Xenopus tropicalis: one gene and its partners. The protein of the gene in region 2 binds, or shares a complex with, the protein of the main gene of each other region. Links are inferred from orthologs where the notes say so. Each region holds a gene or a part of one and is shown on either strand. Other genes may lie near its edges. The genes, in order: lin7a, apba1, lin7c and lin7b.

Region 1 (4,400 bases), on a different chromosome or scaffold from region 2:
CCTGCTATACATGGCATCCAAATGCAGTAGGATAATATTACTACACCTCACAGTTCACATGGTTCATTTTTACAGTTAACAGGGCTCATTTACATGAGAGAAAAAATGTGCACAAAACCCAGTAATCGACCATTTTATGCCCCTTGCACACTATTTTCTTGTCTTTACAAATTGCTGCAGGCCTCTGCAGTCTGTGTCAGGGCACAAAGACCTGTGGCTAGCCTCTTGGATATAGCGCTGTTTGCACTGGCCAGAACTCTATCCAGAAGTGTTGGCAGGAGAGGGACATAGGAGACTCCGGTTGCAATGGGGCCATGTTCTTACTGCTTGACCTATGTCACTCTTTCTTTAATCTTTGGAAAGAACTGGGGAAATAGGTCAGGCTAAAATGACATCCAATTAAATGCAAACAGGTCTATGGATGTAATAAAGGCCGTCTTTGGCTGTTCTCCTTCCTGACTGCTACCTGCTAATAGCCACTGGCTGTTGCTACACAGGTAAAAAGTACACTTGAGTGCCTCAGGGTTGATAAGGAATGATCAAATACAGGGAATATGTTTCCCATCCTTCTTCCAGACCAACAGCATTGGGGCTGGCCATGGGCTTTGGCTCTTCCAGTGCAGCCTTTAGATTAGATAATTAGATTACTAGTGCACAGATAAGTGCATAATGGATTCTTGCTAACAACACCAAAGGAAACACCAGGGGGTAGAAAGGGGGTTGTATACTGGTAATTCAATTATGTATGAAAGGACCAAACATGGAGCAGATTATCAGTTTAGTTCAAGAAATAAGAAGGACCATAAAGTTTTTGTGACAACAGGCAATAATATGTTCAGCGCAAGCCATAGTCAAAGTGGAATTCTGTCAATTCAAAGTAAGATTAGATTGGCACAGTGCATAAACACCTACAAAATGTGTATTCTCTTTTCCTTTTAGACTCAACCCATGGCCTAACTTTTAATTTAAAAGTCTGCACCTGAACACCTTCAACCCTCAATCCTAACCCCTCCATCACCCCCATCACCCTCCAACAAGTTCAGCCCTTCCAAGAGAACCCAGCACATACAAACATATACTGACCTATCTATACACTCACATACATAAACCAACATCAATACTAATTGCAGATTTTAGCATCTCAATAGCCTTGGATATTATGCTTGTTCAAGAAATCTGCCATTACAACATCACTCGGAAGAGCATTCCACAACCTCACTGCCCTCACGGTGAAAAACCACCTACACTGCTTCAAATGGAAGCTCTGTTCCTCTAATCTAAAGGGGTTGCCTCTGGTGCCCTGATTGTTTTTATGAGAAAAAAAGAACCCCCTATCTGTCTATAATCCCTTCTAATGTACTTGTACAGAGTAATCATGTCCCCTCGCAAGCGCCTTTTTTCCAGAGAAAACAACCCCAACCTTGACAGTCTAACCTCAGCAGTCCAAGTCCAAGTAGATGACATCCACTGCCATTCCAGAGTCAAGGTTCCTGCTCACCTCCTCATCAAAGGCTATTTAGATTAGTCTGGCAAGAACTGTTACGCATAAAGCCATGCTGGCACAAACTTATAGTATTGTGATTTGCAATGTATTCAAGTATCCTATCCCTTATCCCTTCTAAAAGCCCACTGATGCCAGACTCACGGGTCTATAGTTTTCAGTCCTAGGCACGTGCCTTTTCTGCCCACCCCTATTTGCGGCACTGAACCTCCCATTGTCAGTGTATCTGTGCCATTGATGGTTGCAGAAAGCATCTAACACAGACTTAAGGAATTCCTGTACTTATTGCCGGCTATATTGAGGCATCAAAAATCTAGGGACATACTAGGGGGCACATCCATCTGCGCCTTTTGTATGCCTGTTTTTGTACTTTATTCTTGGAAGGGACAAAGTTTTAGATCAGGGTGCAACATGAAGAGCAAAGTGCAAAATAATAGAAAGTTTTGTGCCTGTTTTTGCACCTTGTCCCATTTTTTTTGCAAACGAGGCCCATAGTCTCTATATAGTATGCCAAATAAACACTTAAATATGTTGTGCAAATAATAGTCAAAGTTCAAACTGGGGAACAAAGGCAAAGTTGAGAGAAAGGCAAAGCTATCTGGACAGGTTGCCTCCTGTTTATATGCACAATCAACATATTATAAAGCAGTTTTGCTGACAACCCTTTATAGTTGCCTGCAAAAATGCTGTATTGCTCGTTTTTATATTTTTATCAGCATTGGATATACTTATTACAAAGGCTATTTGATGCATATAAGTAATATCTTCAGCTTATTGTCTTGCATTTAATGAAAACAATTTGCTTACTGTAGCAGTGAAAGGTAATAAAATCAAAGTTGTACTTTGCAGCTAGGGTTGCCCATGCCTGGTACTGAGAAAAGATGGTAACATGTAACTTTTGGTTTGCTTCTACTTACTTGCCACTTTCTGCTTCCCTCTGATCGACACAAAGCATTGCTGCATGCAGTCCGCACAGTTATAAATTACAGTTAAAAGTTCATATTAAAACACTTCCCCCTAAGAGGAGGTGTGCGGGGTAGTGGCTCTGGTCTGTTGTGTGTTTTAGTGAATTTTCAGAGAATTCCTTAAAGAGGAAGTGCTGTAAATAAAGTTAATAAAATAAATCAAAACATTAAAGGTACACAAAAGTTTCAGAACTTAAGGCAGAGCTGCCAACAAACCCCATGTCATCAGGGAGATAATCATTCAGTCCTGTTTTTTTTAGGTCTGAATTCCTCTTGACACAAAATGATAATGAGAAATAAGGTCTCAAAAAGGTCAGAAGTGGATCATTATCTCCCTTGTGACATGGGGTTGGTTTGCAGCTCTGGTAAGGATAGCAGATACTGTGAGTCTGCCTGCAGAAAATGGCAAAATCATACAGCCACTACATTGAAATCATCTTTACTGTTGCTCTTGCACGGTATTTTCACTTCACATGCTCCTGTTTTCTTTGCAAATATTTACTCAGTCTTCATTTCCTTGTAGGAGGCATGCTGCATGAACACAAGGTGATATTAAAATGCAAACACCTCCCTCTCTGCCGGCTACTATAAGAGACAGCAGCCTAGAGTGCAGAGGGCTCTTCTCCTATCTAACCAGTTAAACTTTTCCTCCCCAGCCTCTCCCTCTTGCCCCTCCCAATGGCAGTCAGCCTGGGGGAGTGACTGTTTAAGAAAGGAGACCTCACCATTTAGCAGCTTGGTTCTTCTGCAGATTCACTTCTGGTATGTTTTGTTTCTTTTTGCTGTTCTAGGAAAACAGATGCACCCAAGAGAGATACGCTTATACATTGTTGCAGCTGAATTTTGTGTTTGTGTATGCTTAGCACTGAGTAATATGGCTTGTCTCTTCATATAAAGAGAAACTTCTACACTCCATGTTGGCAAAGAAGTGTCAGGGGTAGTGGGAAATCTGTATTTCATTTTATTTCTGTTTTTTATGTTAACTTGTTTGTAAAATAGCAAATCTCTGGCATTAAAAAAATTATGTTTTTCTAAGTTTTCAAAGATCTAAGAACAACTGTGACTTTCTTTTCTATTTCGTCACTTTTCTGCATATACCAAATGAACTGCAAGCATTAAAGGGAACATAAAACTTCCTGAAAATGTTCCAATTTGCAGTCCCCAACCCTCCAAAGTAGCTATACCAAACTTAACTGCAGATGCAAGACTGCTCTCCAATGAACACTCTTTCTTGACAATATTGCACGGCATTTAAACAGCATAAGGGCACATTTAGTAATGTTAAGGAGTTAAAAAAGATATTTTTTTAACACCTTTAGCAATGTCCTCAGTGGGAACTGGCAAGGTTCCCATTGGAGAACCATCTTGCATTCAGTGGATAGCTCTGAAATGCTGGGGAAAAGTTTTATTAGGTATTGTTAAATTAAGACTTCAATTATGATGTTGCTGGACTACAGCTCTCACATGGATATTTATAGTTTATTAGTATGATAGTTTTATTGCAGCAGTATATGAATGAAGCAGCACTATAATGGGAGGTTTAAATAATCCTTCTTTTTTCCCCTAAAGAGGGGTCCTCCTCCCCCTCAGGAGTTGACATCATTCCTAGCTCTATGCACGCAGGACCCTTTCTTATGCAAAATAAGACTGCAGCTGCCAAGAAAAATATTTGGAGTTTCTACAAATGTAAAAGTATAACAAATACAAATTTCTTTTTATTTCTTCTTGGTGTTACTGTCCCTTTTACATAGCATTTTTCTACCTCTTATGTAAACTGCCCATAGTTGCCTGAACTAAAAGTGGACGAGAAGCGGGTGCATATTTAATGGTAGATAACTTAAAAACAAATGAAAAGGGAAATAAATAAGAAAAAATGTAAGCATTTTGTCATAGGGCTGCTCTGCCTTTAATCTTCAGCAGCCCATGCACACCTA
Region 2 (3,908 bases):
GAATTATTTTCAACAATTGGAAGAAATGGTGCATTATCTGAAAAAAACTACAAATGTGTCAATATTTCTGGCCATGATTATAGAAAGATATTGGCTTGTGAGGTTCTGTGCACCACCTGTTAGTCTGACTACAGACCACTAGTAATGTAATATTTTCATGCATAAACAATTTGCAGTACTGAAATGACTGACTTCACGAGACCAAATAACTTACCTCACCAACTGCATTGGAAAGAATATGAACTATCTTCTCATGGGGAGTTGCTACAACACTTTGTCCGTTGATCTCAATGATGCGATGTCCGACTCTCACTCCTCCTCGCTCTGCTATGCCACCTCGCATAAGGCTGCAGATCTGCAATAAATTGGTCTCCATTTCATTAGATAATGGCACTAAGCTTATAAAATGTCTAAACATTTGCCAACATTGCAGGAAACTTTCTCACCGAGATTTGAGAAATTAATTAGAAATTTAAGGGGTTCATTTAAAAGCACAGGGTAGAAAGTGCAAAAAAAAAAAAAAAAAAAGCTCAGAAAACTGCAATGTTTTTTCCACTTTACACCCTGACCCACGCTTAATGTCCATAGACACATGAACTGTGCCTCTCCTATGAATACATTGCTGCCTGCATTCAGCAGCACGGTATTCATGAGAAATATAATAAAGAATCTTCTGCAAAACAGATTTGACAATTTACTACAATTTCTTGCAGATTTAAATATTTTATGTTTTTCCAATAATGACAGTTTCCCTTTAAAACTGTGTAGTCAGAAGAATCTCTCAAAAATACATATAAATACGCATCTACATTTTATATTCCCAGTTAAAAGATTGATAGTACACAATCTGTTTTGAGAGAGAACATCATTAAAAAATGGCAACCATGCTGAATATCCAAGAAAGGAACATCTTCAGGGATCACAGAGCCCATTTACACAGCAGTTCAATATTAAATCTCCATCTGCACATTGCCAAGTTTTTTTCCCCATAAGCTTTCCTCTCCCATAATTCCAGCATAACTGGGGCCTTCCACTAACTTGTGAGTAATAAAAATTTGGGTCCCCACTTGCTGCGTCTGCTGATCCTAGGCCCTGGGCCAAACCCAGTTAGTACTGGCACCGTAGAGAAGACGCTATGACTGATTGGGGTCCCCCTTGTGTCTGCTGTATCATAGTTACCCCACTGTACCCCCTCTCTCCTGGCCCTATGAGCATATGGATCTGACAGCATGGTTGGAAGATTCCATGGGGATATGGATCCTTTTCTGGGTCCCCTGTGGTTTAAGGGACAGCTGATAGGTAGTTGTGCCACTGCCTTGTGTACATAAATGATCCCCTATATCTCTTGCTCCTGTGTGGTGATTTAAAAACTACTGAAATTCTTATTTCTATGCAAATAAACTGAAACCTTTAACCATGCTGAAACATCAAAGACTGCAACGACCTCTATATGCTGAGCCATTATTCTCCTCAGCTGCTACCTAATGAAAACCCACTCATGTTAGAAATGACGCCCTCACCTTGGAATATTGTCAGTAAACAGAAATCTACAACCCTGAAGGTCTCTTCTACCTGCTAAAGAGATGCTTTTCTATAATACACATGCTTGCTCTCGTTAGGCAGGACATTGCCACAGAGTGGTGTGGATAGAGGGTTCTTGCTTTCCAACAATAAAACATATTCAGGGAACAACTTATATTTTTAATAATCTGTGGTCATTGGTGGCAGCAGGGACCTGCCAAAGCTGCTGACACTCTGGCTGGCTTCAACTATGGACAGGATCACTGGCAGTGAAAATAACCCTCTTCGACCATCACAGCTTGTAATATGAATCAGTGAAGTACCCTGTCTGACAATGCCAATTGTTATTTACAGTCCTTAGAGAGTTACAAATCTAACTTGGGGATGCAATTATTTATGCAATTTTAGTTACTTTTCTTACACAGAAAATGAATTATCCCCAAGAGCATATGGTAACTTATTTAATATTTTGGCCATGAATTAACAAAAATATAGTGTTTGCCACTTTCTAAACAATATTCCAAAACAGGGCTTTTCTGCTGGAGGTCCAGTCTAGACCTACTAAGTGATTTTCATCGCCCGCAACAAAGCCAAAATGTCCCTCCACAGGAGAAGCCTATAATAACTTAATTGATTTAATTTGTTTTGCCCACTATGCTGGAACTTGGGCAGCATTGCTCTTTCGCTGGCCATACATGTAAGGATCTGCTTGTTTGGCAAGGCTGCCTTGAGGTGGGCAATATCAGGAAGGGCAAACAGTTGGATCACAATTGAAGCTATGCAGGCTGTTGGGACAAGGACTGCATAAACATGCTGATGTGGTCCTCAACTTGATGGTAAAATCAAACCTGCTCAATCAATATCTGGCTGATTTTCAGTCAGATATCAGTCAGGCAGGCCGGTCTGGTTGACACTTGGCCATTACAGACTGAAAATAATGTTGTTTAAAACGCATTAATGGTATGGGATCTGTTATCTGGAATGCTTGAGACTGGTGTGTAGAGAAGGGATCATTCTGTAATTTGGGTCATTGTATCTTAATCATTAAGACATTAAATTAACCCAGTAGGATTCTTGCAGATTAGTAACCATCAAGTACAAGGTATTGTTTTATTACTACAGAGAAAAGGGAAATTATTTGCTTTTCACTAAGCAGTTTTTCCTTTATTACACTGGAAATAAAACTAAAATAATAGCCAATTGTTAGAGTGAATAATTTAGAGCCAGAAAGTCTCAGTGTAAGTTATATATATATATATACCTATATATATAGGTGATACAAACAGATATAAACAATCCTGTGCCCCCCTGCCCATAAACATTACTAAACCTCCTTCTTGATTGGTTATCAGAATCAAGTCTCTATATCATTTCTTACTTGACTAACTGCTTAAGCAACTTACACTCAAAAAAGGATCTTGGCAATCTAAATGTAAATGATCATATTATTAATCAATTATACAAAAATAATTATAATCATAAGTAAGAGAATGCAATTAATTTCTCATTTGCCATTACAGCTTGTCCTTGTTAGGTGTAAGTTTCTGGGCAGCTGATATTCTTACTCAACCATCTCTTGATATTGTCATTGTCTATACTTAACGCAGAGTATATTTTTATTTAGGCCATTAAAAGGAAAACCCACATCAATATCAATTATTTATGCACCCAGAGTCACTTACAATGCCATTCTGTACACTGAAGCCAAGCTGATATCGTAGGTCAGGCCTCCTGATTAAGACTGTGGTAACTGGGGGGCACCTCACAATGTTCAACTTCACACGGGACTGGTTTTTCAATCCCTTCAAAGAAAAAAAAGTGAATTTTCAGTCTTTTTCTATACAGGTAGATAGAGCGGTTTTGGACAAAATTGCTGGTTGCTAGAACTGAATTTACCCTTGTGAATGAGAGACTGAAAGATCAATGGAAGAGGCTTAAACAGAAAGATAAGTAATAACTGTACAATTGTATCTTCACAGTTTTTTTTGCTGCTGGGGTTAGTGATACTCATTTGAAAGCTGGAAAAAGGCAGAAGAGGATCAAATCATAAAAAAAAAAAAATATAAGAAAAAAAGAAGACCAAATGAAATGTTGCTGAGAATATGACATTCTATAACATACTAGCAGTTAACTTTAATCTCCTTTAAGAACAACTATTTATAAATATGGCATTTCTTTTACTAACATTTATATATACCCCTAATGTGTTCATGCCAACTGCCATAAAGTTACCGTGAGTAAGCAGTGCATCGGAGCAGAAAATTACAAATTTATAATTCAGATGACAAAATTCAATCTCCAGCGCACATGCAACATTATTAAGGGTCTCCTACAGCTGGTGCAGCAGGAAGAAAATGAATGAATATTTAGATTTACTAACGTTGGAT
Region 3 (4,511 bases), on a different chromosome or scaffold from region 2:
TCTCTATCTATCTATCTCTCTATCTATCATATCCATCATCTATCTATCATATCCATTTATCATCTATTCATCTATCTCTCTATCTATCTCTCTATCTATCTATCTCTCTATCTATCATATCCATCATCTATCTATCATATCCATTTATCATCTATTCATCTATCTATCTATCTCTCTATCCATCTATCTATCATATCCATCCATCTATCATATCCATCTATCTATCATATCCATCTATCTATCATATCCATCTATCATCTATTCATCTATCTATCTCTCTATCAATCTATCCATCTCTCTCTATATATATTTCTCTCCCTGTATCTCTCTCTCTCTATTTACCTCTCTATATCTCTCTCTATATATATATCTCTCTGTCTATCTCTCTATCTACACACAGACACAAAAACATTTTTTTTACTTTTTAACTAAACATCTATAGGCCAAAACTGCGTGAACTCATCCGGAAAAACACTGTACGCAATGCAGAAAAACATAACATTGCCAAAATACTTGCCTATAGCATCAGGGAAACTGGTTTTTCTACCCCCCCCCCCCCCCCCCCCTACGTACATGTGCTCCTTGGGATAATGCAGCACAGTTTTCCTATTGGCACAAAGCATGTAAGGTTTGGTTGTGGGGGGGTTTATTCAATCTACATTATATATGGCTCTATAACATTTGAGGTGGGTGGGCCCTCTGTACTAGAGTCAATGTATAGATGTATAACTATATAAAGTGTTAGAACAAAAAAGGGGAATAGCTGCACCTTCCACAATTAGGTATAAAGCTCCACCAAATGTTAATGATAATGTATAAACAAGATAGATTGTACAGCACAGCCTAACAATTACACACAGGGAGGACAAGTGTTATAAATATATACCTATAAATAAGTATAACTACACAGAGATGCCATGTGGTATAAGATACAGTAGGATCCCTGCCCCATAGAGCTTCCATGACCATAGAAGACCATACAAACTACACACAGATATTGTCCTACTGAAAACCAGTACCAGGACCCCAGCATGGCAAGACAGCAATTCTAAAAGCACTAACAGATATCAGTTATCAATCATGAAGACTGAGATTTGGACGCTACTGAGAACAATTATTGGATATTATTATGAAGAGAATGAGAAATTACTCCCTGTGGAATGTCCTTTCTGCTAAACCATTTAGTTAATTTTACCAGCAAGTCTGTTTTTTTTTCTTTTATAAATATATATATATATATATATATATATATATACACATGTGGATGTGTGTGTTTGTGGCCTCCCAGCCCTGCCCTAAAGCCAGTACAGTCCCAGCTTTGAGGCAGGATTCATGCTCCTGAGTCTCCTGTGATCCCCAGTATCAGCGCCAGCACCTGTATTATAGGAATACCATGGGGTCAGCAGCTTATGGGCCTGTGTATGGGGCAACTAGGGCTAGGGCTGCCACCTGGACAGGAATTTAAAGGCCTAGCCGGCAAACTACCACCTAGAGCCGATGTTACAAATTTACAGGCAACGTAACTGCGGGACAACTTGTAAACCTCCACTTTCTTAAAGTTTTCTCTGAGATACTTATTTATTTGCACTCAGAACTGTTCTCTGTAAGCAGCTCTCCTCCCGCCTCTGATCCGCCTACACCACACCCCTGATCCGCCTACACCACACCCCTGATCTGCCCACATCCCACCCTTATCCGCCTATATTCCATCCCTGATCCGCCCACACCCCATCCCTGATCCGCTCACACCACACCCCTGATCCGCCCACATCCCACCCTGATCCGCCCACACCCCATCCCTGATCCGCCCACACCCCATCCCTGATCCGCCCACACCCCACCCCTGATCCGCCCACACCCCGCCCCTGATCCGCCCACACCCCGCCTCCATCACATCACCAGTTGCCTCCCTAGGGGCACAGGCCAGTAAGACTTAGGGGAAGAAGGTGGCACCTCTACGGGCAAATTGACCCCCTGTGATTTCACCTATCCGTCCCCTTTAGGCAAGTGCCAGTGTGGGGGCGATGGGTACAAAGCGCCAGTGTGGGGGCGATGGGTACAAAGCGCCAGTGTGGGGGCGATGGGTACAAAGCGCCAGTGTGGGGGCGATGGGTACAAAGCGCCAGTGTGGGGGCGATGGGTACAAAGCGCCAGTGTGGGGGCGATGGGTACAAAGCGCCAGTGTGGGGGCGATGGGTACAAAGCGCCAGTGTGGGGGCGATGGGTACAAAGCGCCAGTGTGGGGGCGATGGGTACAAAGTGCCAGGAGAGGGGGGGGGCAGGGTACATATTTAAGGAACAAAATGGGTTAATAAGACAGAGAGTAAATCTCAGTGACAGGGCAAATAGATTACTATTATTGTTGACATATTTATAAAGTACAAGTGAGCAGCCTGTACCAAACATACACACTCCTCCCAGTACTGGCACATACAGCCGGCAGGTAGGGCCCTGGGCCTCACAGCTAACACTCTAATGGCAGAAGGAGTGGGACTGTAAGGGAACCCCAGTCACTGGGGGGGGGGGGGGCGGATCAGTGCCAGGGGGATTATACAGGGGATTATACAGGGGGGGGGCAGATACTGACAGATACAATACACACACAGTGGCGGCGCTCACACTGCTCTGTATCCCCTCGGCACCCCCCCCCACTCTCTCAGCCTACCGACCCGCTGCTACTGCCCCTCACCTCTCTCCAAGCGAATGGGCTCTCCCACAGCAGCCATCTTCTTTCCTACACACAACGCTAGATAGTAAAACCCAATGGCTTGCAGCAGGTCGTGATGTCACCGTCACATGACCAAATGTGCGAAGCAGGAAGTGAGGTCATGTGAGGGCGTGTCTAGCCGCCAGCCCCACTCCTAATACTACTGCCTTGCCTACTGCCTGGGCTACCACCGGTGCTACTGCCGGGGTCCCTACTAGTGACACAGGGGAGCGGGAAAAGCGCTAGAACGGGGGCGGGGAGAGAGGGGTGGGGCCTGCTAGTGCAGGATTGGCGCTCAGTGGGAATAGGAGCTGATTAGTGACTGCTTCGTCGGACTGAGGGCTGCTGTGGGGGTGTGTGTTAGTGAGGCTGCCTGTAGGGCTTAATGCACCGGGGGGAAGAGCTGAAGGCTACAGGGGACTGTAAGGGAATTGTACTGGGGCAAAGGGAGAATTATGGGACTGCTAAGGGAATTGAACTGGGAAAGAAAGAAAATGAAAATGTAAAGGGAATTAAACAGGGAGAAATGGGGCTGCTAAGGGAATTGAATGGGGGGGGGGTGTGTAGGGAAAGGGTGAAGGTGAGCGCTGCAAAGGGGACTGTGCTGGGGGAGAGGGAGAAGGTGGCACTGCCAGGGAAATTGTACTGGGATAAAGGGAGACGGTGGGACTGCGAAGGGAATAGCACTGGGGGAATGGTAGGAGGTAAGGGCTGCAAGGGGAATAGCACTGGGAGCAAATGCAGGAGGTGAGGGTTGCAAGGGGAATAGCACTGGGAGCAAATGCAGGAGGTGAGGGCTGCAAGGGGAATAGCACTGGGGGCAAATGCAGGAGGTGAGGGCTGCAAGGGGAATAGCACTGGGGGCAAATGCAGGAGGTGAGGGCTGCAAGGGGAATAGCACTGGGGGCAAATGCAGGAGGTGAGGGCTGCAAGGGGAATAGCACTGGGGGAATGGTAGGAGGTAAGGGGTGCAAGGGGAATAGCACTGGGGAGAAATGCAGGAGGTGAGGGCTGCAAGGGGAATAGCACTGGGGGAATGGTAGGAGGTAAGGGCTGCAAGGGGAATAGCACTGGGAGCAAATGCAGGAGGTGAGGGCTGCAAGGGGAATAGCACTGGGGGAATGGTAGGAGGTAAGGGCTGCAAGGGGAATAGCACTGGGAGCAAATGCAGGAGGTGAGGGCTGCAAGGGGAATAGCACTGGGGGAATGGTAGGAGGTAAGGGCTGCAAGGGGAATAGCACTGGGGGCAAATGCAGGACGTGAGGGCTGCAAGGGGAGTAGCACTGGGGGAATGGTAGGAGGTAAGGGCTGCAAGGGGAATAGCACTGGGGGCAAATGCAGGACGTGAGGGCTGCAAGGGTAATAGCACTGGGGGCAAATGCAGGAGGTGAGGGCTGCAAGGGGAATAGCACTGGGGGGAATGGTAGGATGTAAGGACTGCAAGGGGAATAGCACTGGGGACAAATGCAGGAGGTGAGGGCTGCAAAGGGAATAGCACTGGGGGCAAATGCAGGAGGTGAGGGCTGCAAGGGGAACAGGACTCTGCAGAAAGGGAGAAGGGGAGGGCTTCAGGGGGGCCTGGTGTACTGGTGGAATGGAGAAGTTGAGGGCTGGAAGGGGTAGATAATTGGAATTGTACTTTGATAAAGGAGGAGATTGGGACTGCAATGTGAATTGTACTTAAAAGGAGGAGATGATAGATGCAAAAACTGTGTTGCGGAAACAGGAGGGGAGGAACTGGAAAGGCAGTTGTACTGGTGGAAAATGAAGGAGGTGAGAGCTACAAAGTGCTTACAAAGGAAGT
Region 4 (2,911 bases), on a different chromosome or scaffold from region 2:
TGCCTTTTCATGCTGCTCTCCTTCAACGCTCTGCAGAGAAGAAATCCCTAAATAATTACTAAAAAATGGTTTCCTGATATCTACAAGAGAGACAATCAACAGCAGGATGGCAATCAGTTTTGTGTTTAGAGAGCTCTGTGGAATGATTTTGCAAGGCAACTAGGGTTCTATGCACAGAATATGTTCTACCTTTATAATTACTATCTGCGTAAGCAAATTAAAGGTAAACACAATGTAAAATTTCTAAGTGGTGGCAACAAATGGAAAAAGTAGATTCAATAGGTTGAGGCTATATCATGGTCTTCAACAGGTTTGGAAACATAAAGGTCCATAAATTACTCACCACCCCGTTAACAGAAAGAAGCTGGTCCCCACGTTTGAGTCCTCCGTGACGATCTGCCACCCCACCAGGGATAATTCGAGAGATATAAATGGGGGAATTCTGCTCTTTTCCTCCCATGATGTTAAATCCCAGACCTTCATCAGTTTTAGGGAGCTCAACCACTCTAGGGTGGGCATGTCCTTCACTTGCCGCAAAAGCTGCCACGGTGGCCTGAAAATAATATGAATTTAAAGAAAACTCAATCCCTAAGGGCAAATTATTGAAATAATCTTTGAAAACAAAACCTTGTTGTGCCTTACTGCAAATGTGATATAGAAGAAAGTTGGGAGGATAACCTTTTCAGGGGTGACATGCCTAAAGCTATGAGGGAAAGGGGGCGTAGGTCAAACAGCAGAACCTCCTGCATGCTAGCAGTCACATGGGGCTACCAAATATCCAATCACAGCCCTTATTTGGCATCCCCAAATAAATTTTTCATGCTTGTGTGACTCACCAACACTTTTTGATGGTAGGTAGTGGAGGCACTTGCCCTGGGTACAATAGGGTGGGTGCAATTAGAGGGTAAGAGAGTGAAACGTGGCAGGGGGCCACAGCGAATGAGCCACGGTGGGCTGGTTGGTTAGTGCTTTGTGGACCTACCACAGGCATGAAGGATGTAAGGGGACATGTGAACCAGCAGGCAGGGTGCTATGTCAAACAGTACTGCCTTGGGTGCCAATACCACTTTGCTTGTTCCACTTGCCTGTGCACTTTGGGCCCTGCCTCCAGGGACTCCATAAGAGTAAACAGCTTATTGCCCTTTGTATGGGGCCCCCCGACTGCCTTTCCAATCAATATCTGGCTGGGCAAGGCCTGCATCAATTCACCGATTATCCAACATGTTATCAGTAGTCTTGTAGTCTGATTTAATAATTGGTACCTGGGTCAATGATCGGATCAGCCAGAATTGGCCAAAGGCAAGGGTGGCCAAATCGGGCAAAAATCAGACACATATCAAAGTGTATGGGCAGTTTTAGATTCACAAAGGAAACTGTTTTTAAACTATACAGTGGAGGAAATAATTATTTGACCCCTCACTGATTTTGTAAGTTTGTCCAATGACAAAGAAATGAAAAGTCTCAGAACAGTATCATTTCAATGGTAGGTTTATTTTAACAGTGGCAGATAGCACATCAAAAGGAAAATCGAAAAAATAACTTTAAATAAAAGATAGCAACTGATTTGCATTTCATTGAGTGAAATAAGTTTTTGAACCCTCTAACAAAAAAAGACTTAATACTTAGTGGAAAAACCCTTGTTTGCAAGCACAGAGGTCAAACGTTTCTTGTAATTGATGACCAAGTTTGCGCACATTTTAGGAGGAATGTTGGTCCACTCCTCTTTGCAGATCATCTCTAAATCCCTAAGGTTTCTGTCTCTGTGCAACTCTGAGCTTGAGCTCCCTCCATAGGTTTTCTATTGGATTAAGGTCCGGAGACTGACTAGGCCACTCCATGACCTTAATGTGCTTCTTTTTGAGCCACTCCTTTGTTGCCTTTGCTGTATGTTTTGGGTCATTGTCGTGCTGGAACACCCATCCACAACCCATTTTCAGTTTCCTGGCAGAGGGAAGGAGGTTGTCGTTCAGGATTTCACGATACATGGCTCCGTCCATTTTCCCGTTAATGCGAATAAGTTGTCCTGTGCCCTTAGCAGAAAAACACCCCCAAAGCAAAATGTTTCCACCCCCATGCTTGACGGTGGGGACGGTGTTTTGGGGGTCATAGGCAGCATTTTTCTTCCTCCAAACACAGCGAGTTGAGTTAATGCCAAAGAGCTCTATTTTGGTCTCATCAGACCACAGCACCTTCTCCCAGTCACTCACAGAATCATTCAGGTGTTCATTGGCAAACTTCAGACGGGCCTGCACATGTGCCTTCTTGAGCAGGGGGACCTTGCGAGCCCTGCAGGATTTTAATCCATTGCGGTGTAATGTGTTTCCAATGGTTTTCTTGGTGACTGTGGTCCCTGCTAATTTGAGGTCATTAACTAACTCCTCCCGTGTAGTTCTAGGATGCTTTTTCACCTTTCTCAGAATCATTGACACCCCACGAGGTGAGATCTTGCGTGGAGCCCCAGAGCGAGGTCGATTGATGGTCATTTTGTGCTCCTTCCATTTTCGAACAATCGCACCAACAGTTGTCACCTTCTCTCCCAGCTTCTTGCTAATGGTTTTGTAGCCCATTCCAGCCTTGTGCAGGTCTACAATTTTGTCTCTGACATCCTTGGACAGCTCTTTGGTCTTTCCCATGTTGGAGAGTTTGGAGTCTGCTTGATTGATTGATTCTGTGGACAGGTGTCTTTTATACAGGTGACTAGTTAAGACAGGTGTCCTTAATGAGGTTGACTAATTGAGTAGAAGTGTCTAACCACTCTGTGGGAGCCAGAACTCTTAATGGTTGGTAGGGGTTCAAAAACTTATTTCACTCAATGAAATGCAAATCAGTTGCTATCTTTTATTTAAAGTTATTTTTTCGATTTTCCTTTTGATGTGCTATCTGCCACTGTTAAAATAAACCTACCATTGAA

The links.
Region 1: apba1 (region 2) and lin7a share a complex: the UniProt entries of both Homo sapiens proteins name them as parts of the brain-specific heterotrimeric complex. The link is inferred for Xenopus tropicalis from reciprocal best matches to the Homo sapiens genes APBA1 and LIN7A.
Region 3: apba1 (region 2) and lin7c share a complex: the UniProt entries of both Homo sapiens proteins name them as parts of the brain-specific heterotrimeric complex. The link is inferred for Xenopus tropicalis from reciprocal best matches to the Homo sapiens genes APBA1 and LIN7C.
Region 4: apba1 (region 2) and lin7b share a complex: the UniProt entries of both Homo sapiens proteins name them as parts of the brain-specific heterotrimeric complex. The link is inferred for Xenopus tropicalis from reciprocal best matches to the Homo sapiens genes APBA1 and LIN7B.

The regions. Positions count from the first base shown.
Region 1 is NC_030679.2:52,620,376-52,624,775, forward strand, and holds the start of lin7a (protein lin-7 homolog A), read right to left. Parts: upstream 3,087-4,400; 5' UTR 2,910-3,086; intron 2,648-2,909; exon of another isoform or gene 2,465-2,647; coding exon of another isoform or gene 2,419-2,464; intron 1-2,418. UniProt on the Homo sapiens protein: Plays a role in establishing and maintaining the asymmetric distribution of channels and receptors at the plasma membrane of polarized cells.
Region 2 is NC_030677.2:129,514,700-129,518,607, forward strand, and holds part of apba1 (amyloid-beta A4 precursor protein-binding family A member 1), read right to left. Parts: intron 3,324-3,908; coding exon 3,204-3,323; intron 356-3,203; coding exon 215-355; intron 1-214. UniProt on the Homo sapiens protein: Putative function in synaptic vesicle exocytosis by binding to Munc18-1, an essential component of the synaptic vesicle exocytotic machinery. May modulate processing of the amyloid-beta precursor protein (APP) and hence formation of APP-beta.
Region 3 is NC_030680.2:21,036,205-21,040,715, reverse strand, and holds the start of lin7c (protein lin-7 homolog C), read right to left. Parts: upstream 2,859-4,511; 5' UTR 2,727-2,858; coding exon 2,690-2,726; intron 1-2,689. UniProt on the Homo sapiens protein: Plays a role in establishing and maintaining the asymmetric distribution of channels and receptors at the plasma membrane of polarized cells.
Region 4 is NC_030683.2:118,024,827-118,027,737, forward strand, and holds part of lin7b (protein lin-7 homolog B), read right to left. Parts: intron 554-2,911; coding exon 344-553; intron 31-343; coding exon 1-30. UniProt on the Homo sapiens protein: Plays a role in establishing and maintaining the asymmetric distribution of channels and receptors at the plasma membrane of polarized cells.